Linked DNA regions of Lonchura striata. The protein of the gene in region 1 interacts with the protein of each later gene in a pairwise test. Links are inferred from orthologs where the notes say so. Each region holds a gene or a part of one and is shown in the gene's direction. Other genes may lie near its edges.

Region 1 (7,304 bases):
ATTGGGCACCCTCAGGTCTGGAAATGATACTGTTTTGGACCAAGATTTGCCAGTAAACTTTGGAAAAATGACTCAGATGTTCCCAAGCACATTTGGACCGTGGCAGCCCGGAGTACAGCAGGGCAGATTATCCACTAGGTGGGAGCCTCTCAATTCTAATGGGTGCTGGCCACCGTGGCAATTAAAGCACCGGCTCAGACCGACTCTCCTTCATCCTCCTGATGTCCAAGGAAGACAAAGTTCTGTTCCCTGGTTAGACCCAGACACTCCTAAACCAAAGAGCTGCCTCCTTAGGCTTCTATCTGACAGACACTGGAAGAACAGAGAATGAGCAGCCCAATAATGCCTATTTTGGAAACATTAATTCACTTGGCATGTGCCATATCATGACATATTAAGAGAATGAGTAGCTCTAAACATTCAAGTTGTCTTATGCTGCCTATGCTTGGAATTGAATTTTGCTTTTGTTGCATACAGGTCACAGAAATTAAAGCTGGTTTTGCAGTGTTCACAGCCAGATTTGCTCCCTGGTTTATGACAAATTCATTCCAGGTGGAAATAAAGAGGGAAAAGAAAGTAAAAATTGTGCTGGGATTAGCTCCTGCAGTATTTTTCAAAAAATCTGAAAATTTGAAATCAGAGTACGTGCTTTGGGAATGCAGAGCTTTAGTGTAGTTGCAGTGTGATTCCAACACGTACATTTAAAAAGCTTTTCTCCATTTAAACAGTACAATTAGCACTCTAATTTCTTATTTATACTTTGAATTTTCTATTAAAGTTCATAGGAAATATATTTATCTATCAAATGACTTGCCAGTTACTGTGACTCCAACAAGCAGATGGCATGATCAAGCTCTAAGAGCCAAGCAATGTCAGCACCATGCAGCAGTCAGAGTGAGATCAGACCATTTGTGGATGGCTTCATTCACCTACTTCTGTTCTCCACTTCACCACCAGTTACACTAAATTGTGTACCAAATACTAGAGATCAAATCTGAAGTGGTCTGTAGCAGAAGTGGCAGATTAGTAAAAGATTAGCAATCACTTTGCATCTTTAATTTTCTCAAAGGCAGGCCCCAATTGTTTCAGTGGCCCAACAAACAGTTCCATGATTGCGAACAAACCATGAAGCCAAACATCTGTACAGCTCTGGTTACATCAAGTCATAAGTGGGACCTGTTTGCTTGTAGCTTAAAAAGTTCATGCACCTGGAGCTATTCATACACCTGGATATTCAAAATATAATCAGTGAAGACCTGGGCTACTCAGTGATACTCTGCATAAAACATCAAGAGATGGAAATCATGCAGGTCAAATTCATCATGTCTCTTGAATCTGAGGATTGAGAAAGTCTGTGCTTGTTGCATTTATTAGGAGTGTTTATATGACTCAAATGCACCCAGCAGAGGACTTGGACTGGAGCCTGCTTCACAGCACAGCGCTCGACACGTGCCAGGCACGTCACTCACCCAGGTTCATCAATGCCAGCTCTCTGCAATGCTCACCCAGAACAAACACCTGAACTCCCAGTGCTGCTTAACAGAGCCTTTCCTGCTCAGGTGACCTGTGAAAGTGCTGCAGGTACTCAGGAGGTAGAAAGCTGATCTGGATCTCACTGCAAGAAGTGTTGTTTCCTGACACACCAGAGAGATCTGCTTGATTAATGCAGTGAATAACAATTCTATTGCAACAGTGCTGCCCTGTACAACCTGAGCTAGAGCTGCTGTGCAGCTGGGAGGGAGCTCTGCAGCCCGTGTTCAAGTCAGAGAAACGTGGGTGACCCTGTAGAGTAAACCCACTCTGGGTAACTACAAGTACATGGTTTCTAGTTGTAGTGGAAGGCCCTGGAGCAAATGTTTAGTTTGGTACTCCTGGGTGTGTGAAGCGCTGTGCAGATAGGAACCTGGATAAGTCAGGAGTGCTGTGTTTGCACTTACATGAAGAACACAAAAAGTAGAAAATGCCTCTTGAGCATTTTCCCTTCTGAAATAGAGCACAAAGACCTTGAGCCTGGAGTCTCATCTGAGATTAGCCAGACACTACAGAGACTCACTTATCTTAATAACAGATTTTCCTGAAGCCAAGATTTTTGCTTGGCAGTATTTCCTACATGGACATTTTCATAAATCATTCTGATCTGAAGGATGGCTAATGACAACATGAACTAGAAGCCACATTGCCTCAGGGTCACAGCTATGGCCCAGTGACACCCCATCACCAGAGAGCAAACAGTGAGTCCCTGTGTAGATATCCTGTGTAACCTGCCTCACTGGCAGTGCTTTCACCTGCACAGGAAACCAGGCTAAATCCTACCTGTCAGGAAAGACAATTTCATTAACAGAAAAAGTGTGATGTCTTGCCAACTAAATTCAATCACTAAAAGGCTTTTCCCTGTCAGCCCAGACTGTTCTGTTTCCAGCTGGATGCTTGTCGACCCTGCAGCAGCTCGAATGAATTTTGAATCACTAGCCCATGATAATTTCTGTGAAATTATCATGGGCTAGTTTCTTTGTTTCTTCGTAGGGTATGCCCCCACAAAAATGTCCAACTTAAGTTAGATATCCCTTTGAAATTTCCTTTAATTAATTTTTCATCTACTTGCTGACCGTATTCATTAGCTCTGCTGAGTATATGGTTGGCTGCCAGCTGCAGCAAAATAAAAGACCCCCCCCATTCTTCGTGCCTTTGTTTACATTCCCTCAGCTACAAACCCCATCTGTATCACTTCCTCAACTTACAAAAGTAATTTTCCTGCAGGACCTTTTTAACATCTGTGTCCCCTGTGTCTGAATCAGCTGCTTTTGTTGATTTGGAAGAGACTCTGGCATATGCTACAGGGAACATATGGTCTAAGTGTGCCTTTTTGTTGCAAAACCGGGAGTGAAATTCCTCTGCACATTGGAAGCAGAATAAATCGCTGATATTACTCCATTTGAGGCTACTGCTGACATTGCTGAGGCTGAGCAGAGGTTTTATACCAGACAGCATAAGAGGCAGCAGAGGTAGAAAACATGGCCAGGGACAGGCACCAGTTCAGGACTTTGAGATCAGCAAAGTTTGGGCTTTGTTGCTTAGAAAATAGGTAAGTCAGGAAAGGTGATGGCAATACAGACATCTGCAAGTAAATGCTCCGGGAAAAAAATTATCCATTTATAATACTTAGGAGTCAAAGGCACACAACAGTGGGGACAGAAAAATGGGTCTGTGATGGAGCAGTGCGGTCCTGACAGCAAGGGACACGCAGGATGGAAGAGCTGCAGGAGTGAAGGAGCAAGTGTCAGCAACTACTTGGTTTGTCAGTGTGATAAACAAAACCTCCTGTCAAAAAATGAATGACCATCAGTGGCAAGCAGTATCAGGAGATCTTTGATCCTGCCTTGAGCAGAAGGAGATCCTGGCTGTGCTCAGGGGCGTGAAGAGCCAGGGGTCTTCTTGAAGTAAGAGATACTTCAGTAATAAGCATCTGCCTCCAAGGGATCCATACTTAGAATTCCTCGAAGCAAAGTTTTGCAGAAGGTAACTTCTGCGTTTGAGGGACACTGTGCATTCACTCTTCTACTTAGAGTGACTATCAACAGGCATCTGCGGCTGCTCCTGTGACTGTCAGATGACTGAAGTGGTGCAGTTGAGAAGCACAGTTACCTCCAACCAAACCCACTGAGTGCATGACCTGCTGATAGAGCACCCATCAGAGAGCCAGTTTTAAACCTCACAGACACACTCTTTGCCTTCAGGTGTATTTCTACGGGAAACTGAGAACTGAGACACGCATTTGCAAAGTGCTGAGAAAGTTCAAGCCAGTTGAATCCGAAGAACAACGCTTGCCCACACCCTCACTTAAGAAGCATTATTTTTGTTGTTTATCTGCCATAACCCCGAATTATCAGTCACGGGGCAGGGCGTTTTGGGGAGGAGCGTTGATCTTTCGCTCAGAGCACGGGGCAGTAGGTCGGAGCTGCCTTGCCAGAGCGCCGGCGGGCTGCGGGCTGCCCAAGGACGGCTCGGGGCGCGGCAGGGACCGGCCGGAGCGGGAGCGCAGCCGGGCTGGGCGCTCACCGCGCGGCGCCGGCGGCGAGCAGAGCCGGCCACGCCGCCCCGGGGCGTTCCCAGCCAGCCCTCCCCGCTGCCCCGGGGGGCTGCCGAGCCGCGCTGGACACAGCCAGAAGTTTCCAGCCGGCGGCTCCTCCGCCGTCCCCCGCCCTCCTCCTCCTCCTCCGCGTCCCGCCCCTCGTCCCGCCCCCGCCGCCGTTTCCAGACAGTTCCAGCCCCGCGCCCCCGCCCCCCGGCCCGCGGCGGATAAAGCGGCCGGCGCGGCCCGCGCTCTGCCCCGCCATGAGCGCCGCCGCGCAGAGCCCGCCGCCGCCGCAGATGGAGGGCAGCGCCGAGCCGCTGCCCCCCGGCTGGGAGATCAAGATCGACCCGCAGACCGGCTGGCCCTTCTTCGTGGATCACAACAGCCGCACCACGACCTGGAGCGACCCGCGCCTGCGGGCGGCGCCGCAGGTGGGGCGGGCGGGGGTGGCCGGGCCGGGGTCCCGCGGGGCGAGGGGGGTCGGGGCCGTGCGGGGAGGGCGGGAGCTGCCTTTTGGCTCTGACGCACTGCAGTCCCTTTTTTGTGCATTCAATCATTCGATACCTCGGCCCTGTAATGTTTATTTAAAGTTGGTTAAGTCCGCCCGGCCTCCCGGGGAGAGGCGAAGCTGATTTATTTTTCAGCTGTGAACTGCCCGAACGCTGGATGCCTTTAAAAAAAATGAGAGATCCGGCTCGGGCTCCAACTTATTTTTTCTTTTCCCGTTTTCTTTTCCCTGGTCCCAAACTGCCGGCAGCTGCCGCTCCGGTTTTGTTCCGAAGCACGCTCGGGGAAAAGCCGCATCTCAGTCCAAATATGTCCATGGAAGGAGAGGCGCGGAGGGGAGAGCGGCCGGGGCCCTGCGGAGTGACCCTTTCGGGTCAGGTTCCGCGGCTTTTGGGGAATACAGCCCGTTCCTTGGCGGAATACAGCCCTCGGCCCAACAGCGCGGCGGCTGGGGGCAGAAAGCGCTGGAAACTTGAGCCTGGTGGGATTTGCCTGGTGGGAAAGCGATTCCCCGGGGTCTCGGCGCTCTTCTCCGCGCGGAGCATCGCGTAACCGCGGGCTGACCGCTCCGCCGCGCTGCCGGCCGGGGGCTCGGGCACGTCCCGGGCGCGGAGCTCCGCGGGGCTGCACCGGAGCCCCGGGGGGAGCCCCGGGGTCGGGCTCTGTGTCCCCGCAGCAGCGGGGAAGGGGCCGCTGGATGCGGCATGCGGCTGCTCCGGATCTCTGTTGAGTTTTTCTCCCCTACAACGAGAGGAGCGACGCGCTCAAGGAGTGTTAATTATTTTATGAACTTGCCGTTTCTTAAAATAGTAATTGCCCGGTTCGCGAGCGCGGGCCGTGACTGAAAGCTCGGTGCGAGAGCAGCTGGCCTCGGCAAGGAAGGGATGTGTTTCTCTATCACAAATTAACCCCCTTTGCAGCTCTCTAAGTGCTAGTTCGTTTGGTCTATAAATAAATTATAGTAATAATACACAAAGGTCTTAGAAAAATGGAATTTGAAAGTAAGAATATTGAGAGTAGCATAGGAAAAAGTGCTTTCTCTCCTTTATGGAGGCACCTGCTAACACTCGCTGTTGTGGTAGTAAAAATAAAGATGGTGTGGTTTTTATAGCCATAGAACGTACTTGAAAAGAAAAGTGTGCTGTTTCCTGAAAGGGTTTTGTTCCAGGAATACCACTTGAGACTAACCTATTTAACAGAATAGTCAAATTCAAGCTGCTTTCAATAATGGTGTGAAGAGAGTTGGAAGCTGTCTGGTGGATCAGCCCTCTGCTTGAGTGGGTGCCTGAAACAAAACAAATTTTCACCCCTATCTCGTGTGAAATCTGTGGTGATGAGAAGTGCCTCTTCTATGGCAAGGGCTGTCACAGGTAGAAAAAGCTGTATTTGCTTTTGAACAGCTTTTGTGGGACACACTCTTTTCCAAACAGGAAAATCTGTTACTCCTGGCTGCAAGCTGGAACGTGTGCTTTGGGTTTGTTCACTGTGAGACAGGGAAATGCCTCCAGAGATGAGCTGTTGTTTTTTGGGAGTTCCTAGCTAAAAAAAGTCTTCCAGTTTATGGTGGTAGAAGTTGTGTGTAACTGCTCTCACATGGGCATTTATCAGAGCCTCGAGTTAAATGTGTCTGCTGGAATTCATGGACAGCTGCTGAAATCATCAGTTTGTTGAGTACCAGTGTATTCCACAAGGACAGGTACTAGTTAGCAAAAGAATCTTAGAATCAGGCCCAAGGGAAATACGTCCTTTTCTAAATATTCTCTTAGCTGGGCAATGGCAATGAAAGCAAATTACCCATTGACATTGACTTCCAAATCCAACAAGGATTTTTGAAGATGCCAGACTTCTGTTAATACCTAAACAGATAGGAAGGACATAACCACAGATGAAAGCAAAAACCAGATTTGATGGGTAGAGCTTTCTGATTTCCTTCATTATTCTCAGCCTAGCTCAAATGAGAACTTGGGGTTTCTAGAAGTGATCTGAGAATGACAAAAGCTGACTGCATGTGTCAGACTTCATGCACCTTTTCAAGAATGATTATACGAAGGTCAAACTTGTGCTGACTTCATCACTGCATTGCTTTCACTGAAATATGACAGTGAAACTAGAAAATTTTTGACCACCTTTGAGGTGGTCTTGCAGTAAATCCACCAATATTCTGTCTGTGAATTTTTGTTCCCTTTCAGAAAAGATTAGGCAATGAAATGTGGTATTGCACACTAAGTGGACAATGACTGGAGCACAGATCTAGGGCTAACTGAGCTTTTCTATCTAGGTAAGAATATGGCTGAGACAGTGTCATAACAAAGTCCTGTTGTTCCCGAGTGCTTGATCTTGGCCTTCTCACTTACCCTGGGCTTAACATCAGTGTAGCCATGCTGGCTGCAGTAATCTGTGCCAGATACATAATCGGGTAAAAGTTGAAGTGGCTCCTTTGAAATTGTAACCCATGTCAAAGCCTTTTTAAAGCAACGAAACCAGACCTTGATTTTGCATTTAACTCTGTATTTTAGGTGCATTTGTGAATTCAGATGGCTCTCGGTTATTTCCCACTCAGTCTGGCCTTTTTTTTTTTTTTGTTTTTTACTGACGTGAAGGATGGGTATTCTTCTGCATGTTTGTTTCTGTTACATATAAGAAATCATGGCAGCATAAGGATGGCTTGGGGAGCCCTTCATGAGAAAGAGGGAAAAATCTCATGTTGTTTCAGTGAGAAATAAGG
Region 2 (7,230 bases), on another chromosome or scaffold:
CTGACCAGTGCTGGACACTTATTTATAAGCTGGACTAAACCAAGCCATAAATTTGCAGAGAAGCAGTTTATTTTTAAACCACAGATTCTGTTGTGATTGTGTCACAGACCACATGATTTTGCTGCAGGGCAAATTCAAGAAGAGCTGTGCATGCAATCAAGACTTGCAGAATCTCTGCACCCAGCAGATCAGCCAGCTCTCACCAGCCTACCTGAGGCTTTCTAGTTCACTCATCTTTTTTACCAATCTTTGTAAGCATGTTCAATTGTTTACTGATTGCTTTGTTTATCATAAAGGATCGGTCTGAAAAGACAAAAGGTTTCATTTCAAACAAGGAGTGTCCTAAATATTTGGCATCCAGTGTAACAAGCCACTCGAGGCTGCACAAGATCTGGGGAAGTGTTTTCTTACTGTGTAGCAATGGCGGATGAGATTGCATTTCACCATGATTAGTCATCTGTTTGGTAAATGGCTGTTAATGCTCACATTGCTGTTGTGTTTTAGCTCTGTAGCTATGACATTTGTGCCCAGATGATATGCTTCCTGGCTTGCTGCTTCCTACAGACAGCCAGTACCAAGTGACAAGATATGGCATATAATGTCTGAGTTCCTGAAACAGGAACTGACCCCTTTGGACCTGAGACTTGAGAGATTCACTGAAGTGGCTTCAATGAAGGCAGTCCTACCAGAGGTGGGGAGCTGAAATGCTAAACATGATGTCAAAGATATCCTTAAATCAAGTAACCTAAGAAAAAAAACCTAGAAATTATAGACTATTATATAATTCAATATTGGTAACTCATAAAGTGAGAGAAGCATTAGAAAATAAATGCTTATTGGAATATAGCTTAATATAATGTGTGAGTGATGCTAGAAACAGACTTTAAGAGAAGGAGGTATTTGAGGCCTGAAGGAAAGTCTTATTGGACAACTATGAATTTTTAGTAATATGATCTCAATCTTTATACATATTTCTGTATTTATTGCCTATATCCCAATGAAATCACAATAATCCTGGTGTCCAGATGACAGCTGTGTGAATATTAGAATTAAGCACAGAGAATACTGTGTCATTCCTTACTCACTTTAGATCCACAGAGTTGGATCAAAGCACTTCATGAAAACATTTCTGGCTGCTGCCTCAATCAAAGTAGCAGGAAGCTTCACTGTAAGATTTAGATCAGTGATTTCAGTGTCAGATATACGAGCTGGCAAGGCTGATTTTTGCCAATATTATACCAGAGCTTGGCCAAACAGCAGGTCAGGCATTATTCTGGAGGAAGGGCATGAAGAAAGGATTTTTGTACCATTTCATTCAGCAATGACATCAGAGCAGTGGAAATCATGTTTCAGTTCTGACTACAGGAAAAATAATCAGGCAGCTTTATTTTTAAAATCATATCCTTCCTGTACCCTGTCAAGGGAGTAGGAAGATGAATTTGAAGGGTAAATGTTTGGAGAATCATAATTTTCCTCTCTGTTTTGTCATGGCATTAATAGATAATCAATCTATCAAATAATGGATGACTTTATCAAGACAGACCTGCTGTTTTTAAAGGTAAAACTTTTCTATCATAACCGTTTCTTTCTAGTTGTTCATACTAGGAGAACCATTACTGGCAGTGAGTGGTTGTTCTTCTCATAATCCTTTACATGAAGTGCCAAGTGTTCTGAGAAAAAGAAATCTATCATTACCTCTTTTGACACCACACTTCTGTCTCACTCTCTAGGGAAGATAATATGATTTGCATGCTTAAATATTTTGCTGTACTGTGTTTTGCAGTCTGGCAGCTGTTATCAGTTATGATGATCAAATAACACTACAGGAGTTGGTAATTAAGAAGGAAGCAGTACTAGAAGGACAACAAAGTACTAATATTTAGGTTTGGATTAATTTCACAATTCTGTTAATCAATTGCTTTTCTGGGGAATCATTTCCAATTTTAGACTAGATATATACTACTTCTGTTTAACATGATAAATTACACTGAAGTGTGGGATCCTGTTGTCATCTTTGAGGCTTCTCATGGGAATTTCAACACTTGTATCATTGTACTAACTATTGAAATTGTGTTGGAGTTTTTGTTCTGTTTGCTTAGCATTTCAGCAGTTAAGAAAAAACAATTATGCTATCAGATTATTTGGTTTAATGTATCTACCTTGCTTCTCTTTAAATCTGTCTTTGTACATTGATCATTGCTCTGAAACTGCATTCTGGTACAACTCTGTAAGTATATAGTCATAGAAATATATAGTCATAGTCATTCCCTTATCTAGCTTCAACAAATCAGTATATGCAACATTATATACATTTATAAAAAGATATTTATTTGTATGTGTGCAAGTCCTGTGATTTTTAGGCAGGAGAAATTTAAGGTGAGATGAAGGTTTACTTATTTTACACGTTATTGAGAACATACTACAGCATGTAAGATATGGCTAAAAGGCTTTTAAATGTACATCAACTTTTAAACATCATTTAGCTTCTTTTACAGAAACCTACTGCTGTAAAAGCAAAAGCTAGTAAATCCAGCACGCAATTATTTTTGGGGCTAAACTGACATCTGCTGGTGTTCTGCAATAGCATGTGTCCAATCAGTGCGATGACAAAACATCCACTATATTCTTTATACATTTCCATGGTGCTGTTAGCAGCCCTGGTGATGGCTCAACGCAGCAAAGAGAAGCTGAACAGCGACTAGAGCAGGTGAGGCTGCTGATCACACCGTGCCATGGGAACTGAGGATGGAGCAGAACTCTTGTGGATCCATCCTGCTGCATTTGTGTGTCAGGCTTCTGAAACTGCCATGGGGCCCTTTTTTCTTACGATTTTTTTAAAACTAGTTATGTTTATAATCTTCAGGTACACAGCTCATGGGGAAGCAGGGGGAGGGGAGATAAAAAGCTGTATCAGTTTCTAGCCACATTTCCTCATCTACACCTTGAGCTGGCACTGGCCATGTCCCCCCCCAGTCACCCAGTCTGCTGCAGGGAGGGAACTTCTGTGGGTGCCAACACAGCTTTGGGGAAGCTGCATGGGCTTCCTGGGCCTAACCCAGGTAGTTGGTTGGGCTGCAGCTCTATTCCATTAGACTATGAAATTTGGCACAGATTCACAAATAGTGCTACTTATTGAAGCAACAGGAATACAAATTTGGAATTGCTGTTGAAAAATGCTGTTACTGCATTAGCACCAGCCAATAGTTAATTAAGTTTGCTTCAAGCTAAATGAAAAATTCAGTTTTTCATTACACTTAACTTCACAGTTAATTAAGCTTAGTTTCACCCAAGTATGGTCTGACACAGAGACATGAAATTTACTAAAGAGGGATCTCTCCTTTGGGGAGGAGAGAGGAGCAAAACCATCCACTTGTTTATGAAATGGGGAGCTATGGGGAATATTCTCATCCTCTACGTGGTGGATTCCAAATATCAATTTTGTATTTTCAGATAAATGGAGGCGAGACTGTTATCAAATACAATTGGTTACCTGTTGCTTTCATCTTAGATAATGGGGACGAAGGCACTTTCTCAGTTGCATGCTGGTGTCTGTTTCCTAGGTAAATGAGGGATAATGAGGGTTTCAGTTACTGTTGGTCAGGCTGAGTTAGGATTAATGGTTGAATCAAAGGAAGAACAGAAGCACGATACTTTAGTATTGCTTCCTCCTCCACTCAGATGAGGCAGCAGTAAAGGCCATCTGACCTTTGCTTAACCATCTTTACTCCCATCAACATCATCATCACAGAATCACAGAACAGTGTGGGTTGGAAGGGATCTTTAAATATCATTTAGTCCAAGGCCCCTACAATGAGCAGAGACACCCTTCAGTAGACCAGGTTGCTCAGAGCTCTGCCCAACCCAGCCTTGAATGTTTCTAGGGGCATCCACCACATCTCTTGGCAAACTGTGACAATAGTTTACCACCCACATTATAAAAGCCTCCTAATATAATCTAAATCAACCCCCTCCTTCACTTTAAAATCATCATATCTTTTCCTGTTGCGATAGGCCCTGCTAAAGTTTGCCGATCGCCGTGACTGCGAAATGCGCCAGGAGTGCCTGTACTTCCACAGGCTCCCTTCCCTTCCCTTCCCTTCCCTTCCCTTCCCTTCCCTTCCCTTCCCTTCCCTTCCCTTCCCTTCCCTTCCCTTCTCTTCCCTTCCCTTCCCTTCACGCTGCCGGGAGCCGATGGCTCAGGGGAGGGAGTCGGGGCAAGGCCCGGCCGGGGCAACGCCCGCGGCGCCTGCTCGCGGCTCTAAGGGGAAGGGGAGGAGGAAAGGCGGGTGGGGACGGGACGGGACGGGACAATCCGTGCTGACGGTGGCTGCACCCGGGCGAGCGGAGGCGAGGAGGGCTGGCGAGCACGGCTCGGCACGGTAAGGGAGCCCGGAGCCTGGCGGTGCCGCGGGCAGGGCAGAACGCGGCGGGGGGGGCTTTGCTCCGCCGCCGGGGCCGCTCCTGCGCGCCGGCGCTGCCCTCCGCGCCGCTCCCAGTGCTCCGGCCCGGCGGCGGGGACGGGGAGAAGCCGCGGCTCTGGGCTGGTCCCGCCCCGCAGGAGCCCCCGGGGCACCGCGGGCAGGTTGGGGCTTCGCGGGCCAGCGGCGTCCCGAGCGGCACGGTCCCGGTCTCGGTCCCGGGACGGTCCGGGAGAGGCCCTGGGCGACTCCCGCCCTCGGCGATGCGGGCGGGGGCCGAGCGAGGCCGGAGTTTCGCTTTCCCGAGTGTGGCAGGCGGAAGGTGGCCCCTTTCTTTTGGGAATGCTCTCGGGATCCTCGCGGCAGCAGCTCCTCTCAGACCGGCCCTGCCCTGCCCCGAGGAGCGGGTTACTCACAGGATTAAGCCACTCACAGGATTATTCCAAAACTATTGATTACTTGATAGAAGTAGCACTCTAACCTCTGAAATCGCTTCTGCCGCCGGAACACACCGTGCGGATTCTATTTGTACTATGACAGTACAAAATTCAATGTGACCACAATGCCATTGGTTCTTCCTGAAATAATAATATGTCAGAGTCTTTTTTGTTGTGATTACTGGATTTTATTCTCTCACAAATGCCTGGGAAATGTAAACAACTTTGAGATAGTATTTCTCAGCAAGTTGGTAAACTAGGAAGTTGTCCAGAGTTCAGACGAAGTGGTGGTCCAAGAAGGTGCTGTGTTAGGGCTTTGCACTGCAAAAATCCGAGTGCTCTGATAAACCTGTATATCCTGCTGGGTTGTTAATAGCCTTCAACCTGTATTTCATTCTCAGTGTTGCTGACCAGTATCTGTCTTAGACTCTGATGTGCAGGGAACCCTCTAAACCACCCGTGGTGTTGGAAGGTTGTTTGGGATTTCTAGTGAAGAGGACTGTGTAGGAATTGTTTAATTTAATTTAATTTAATTAAGTTGTGTCAGATTTTGCAAGAGATTAAGGGAAGGGCAGCAACACATTTGTTTGGCCACACTGCGTTAGGATAGTTGTAATTGTAAGCAGTTCTTATTGGATGGGTTTTTGGTTGGTTGTATTTTTACATACCAAGCAGAGAGGTGGGCTATTACCTTCTTTTTCCCTTGTCCCCAGCCTAATTTTCAAGATGTGGAGTGTGAAACACACTTGTGCATTTGCACTGGCTGTATGAAGTGGTGGCTCAAATAGCTCTTCAGTGTTGGCATTTAAAGCAGAAGGGACATGAGAAAAATGAAATTAAAAGCTGAAGTTGTGGTTACATCTGCAGTACGCGGTACTTTGAAGAGGCCTTTTTTGTAGTCCTGATGTCATCTGGATGTTTATTAGGAATTTTTGTTTTGATAGATAACTTGAAGGAGTTAATACATTTTTTTTACCATTCACTGTAGTATTTTGTACATGTTATTTGTGCTACAGATTTGAAATTTAAAAAAAAAAGAGATGCTACAAAGTGCTGCAAGAACCTAAGACTTGTTCACGTTTGTCTACAAAAAAAAAAAAAAAGTGAAAGTGCAGAAAAAGCACAGTGATTACTTTGAAATGGTTGTTCAAAACCATTTGGTGGTAAGAAATAAACATGCAATATAAAGCAAATATCAAAACTTGAAGTGTTCATGCTGGAAGTTATATCATTTTGAAATCTCTGAAAGAGTGTCTTTCAGTTTCTTAGAACTTGCTTGTCAGTGAAGCAGATCTGAGCAGCTGAAGTAGTTTTGTATTTAACCCCACCTGGCAACTGAGTACCACACAGCTGCTCACGCAATGCACCCCTGAAGAAACTGGATGGGTGTAAGAAAACTCATGGGTTGAGATAAGAACTGTCTCATAATTGAAATAAAATAATTAAGAAAAATAATAATTTAATAGTTGTAATGAAAAGGAGAGTAGCAGAGGGAAATACAATCCAGCAAGTGAAGCAAATTAGAACAGTTGCTCGCCAGCAACAAACCAATGAATGCCCAGCCAGTCCCTGAGTAGCACATCCCTCCAAAAACCTTCCTGGTTTTATTGCTGAGCATGATGCTTTATGGTCTGGAATATCCCTATGGTCAGCTGGGGTCAGCTGTTCTGGCAGTGTCCCCTCCTGGCTTCTTGTACACCCCCAGCCAACACCAGCGTACCAAGTGAGGACAGTAGATCGTGATTCAGCTCTGTAGTTTAGTCACAAGGAGTAAACTTCTCTTTTCTAAAGAAAACAGATCAGTGTTTTTTAAAGGTATAGCTGTGAAATACTTGTTGCTACAAAATCTTACTGAGTTTCAACATCTTTGACTGCTGTCTTGTTCCGTTTTCATTCTGCCAAAGTTGCAGTGTGAGTATGAGAAAGGTGGGAAAGAGCAATGTTCCAGGCTGACAGCACCTGTAGCCACTTATGTTCTTCTGTACCAGCTCCTGTGTTTGTCCTGGCCACAGGACTACTATCAAACACACTCTTGATTGAGTACACAATTCCCTTTGTAATACACCTTTCCACATTTCTGCTAAATCTGCTGAGAAGACTGTGGGACTCCTGAAGTATATAAACATAGGTGTTTCCTGGTGTATCCCCATGCCTACAGTGCAGCTGAGTAGTCCTGTGTAACTTGGAAGAGTGAACAAACCTGTGACAAGTTCTTTGTGGAAGTGTTTATAGACTTGACTGAAATCCTGATGAAAGCTGTATTGTGTGAGGAAGGTAATCAGCATTATTCCAGGGACTTTTCCATGCTCTGGGAGAGTGGAAAGGCTTGTGTCATTGTATACACTGCACTTCTGTGCTGGGTCTCACCCAAACTT

The links.
Region 2: the proteins of BAG3 (region 1) and LITAF interact in binary tests that used the Homo sapiens proteins (3 or more experiments, as listed by UniProt). The two-hybrid records come from large-scale screens. The link is inferred for Lonchura striata from reciprocal best matches to the Homo sapiens genes BAG3 and LITAF.

The regions. Positions count from the first base shown.
Region 1 is NC_134609.1:27,403,527-27,410,830, forward strand, and holds the start of BAG3 (BAG family molecular chaperone regulator 3), read left to right. Parts: upstream 1-4,297; 5' UTR 4,298-4,332; coding exon 4,333-4,503; intron 4,504-7,304. UniProt on the Homo sapiens protein: Co-chaperone and adapter protein that connects different classes of molecular chaperones including heat shock proteins 70 (HSP70s), e.g. HSPA1A/HSP70 or HSPA8/HSC70, and small heat shock proteins (sHSPs), e.g. HSPB8.
Region 2 is NC_134618.1:7,967,145-7,974,374, reverse strand, and holds the start of LITAF (lipopolysaccharide-induced tumor necrosis factor-alpha factor), read left to right. Parts: upstream 1-4,220; 5' UTR 4,221-4,379; intron 4,380-7,230.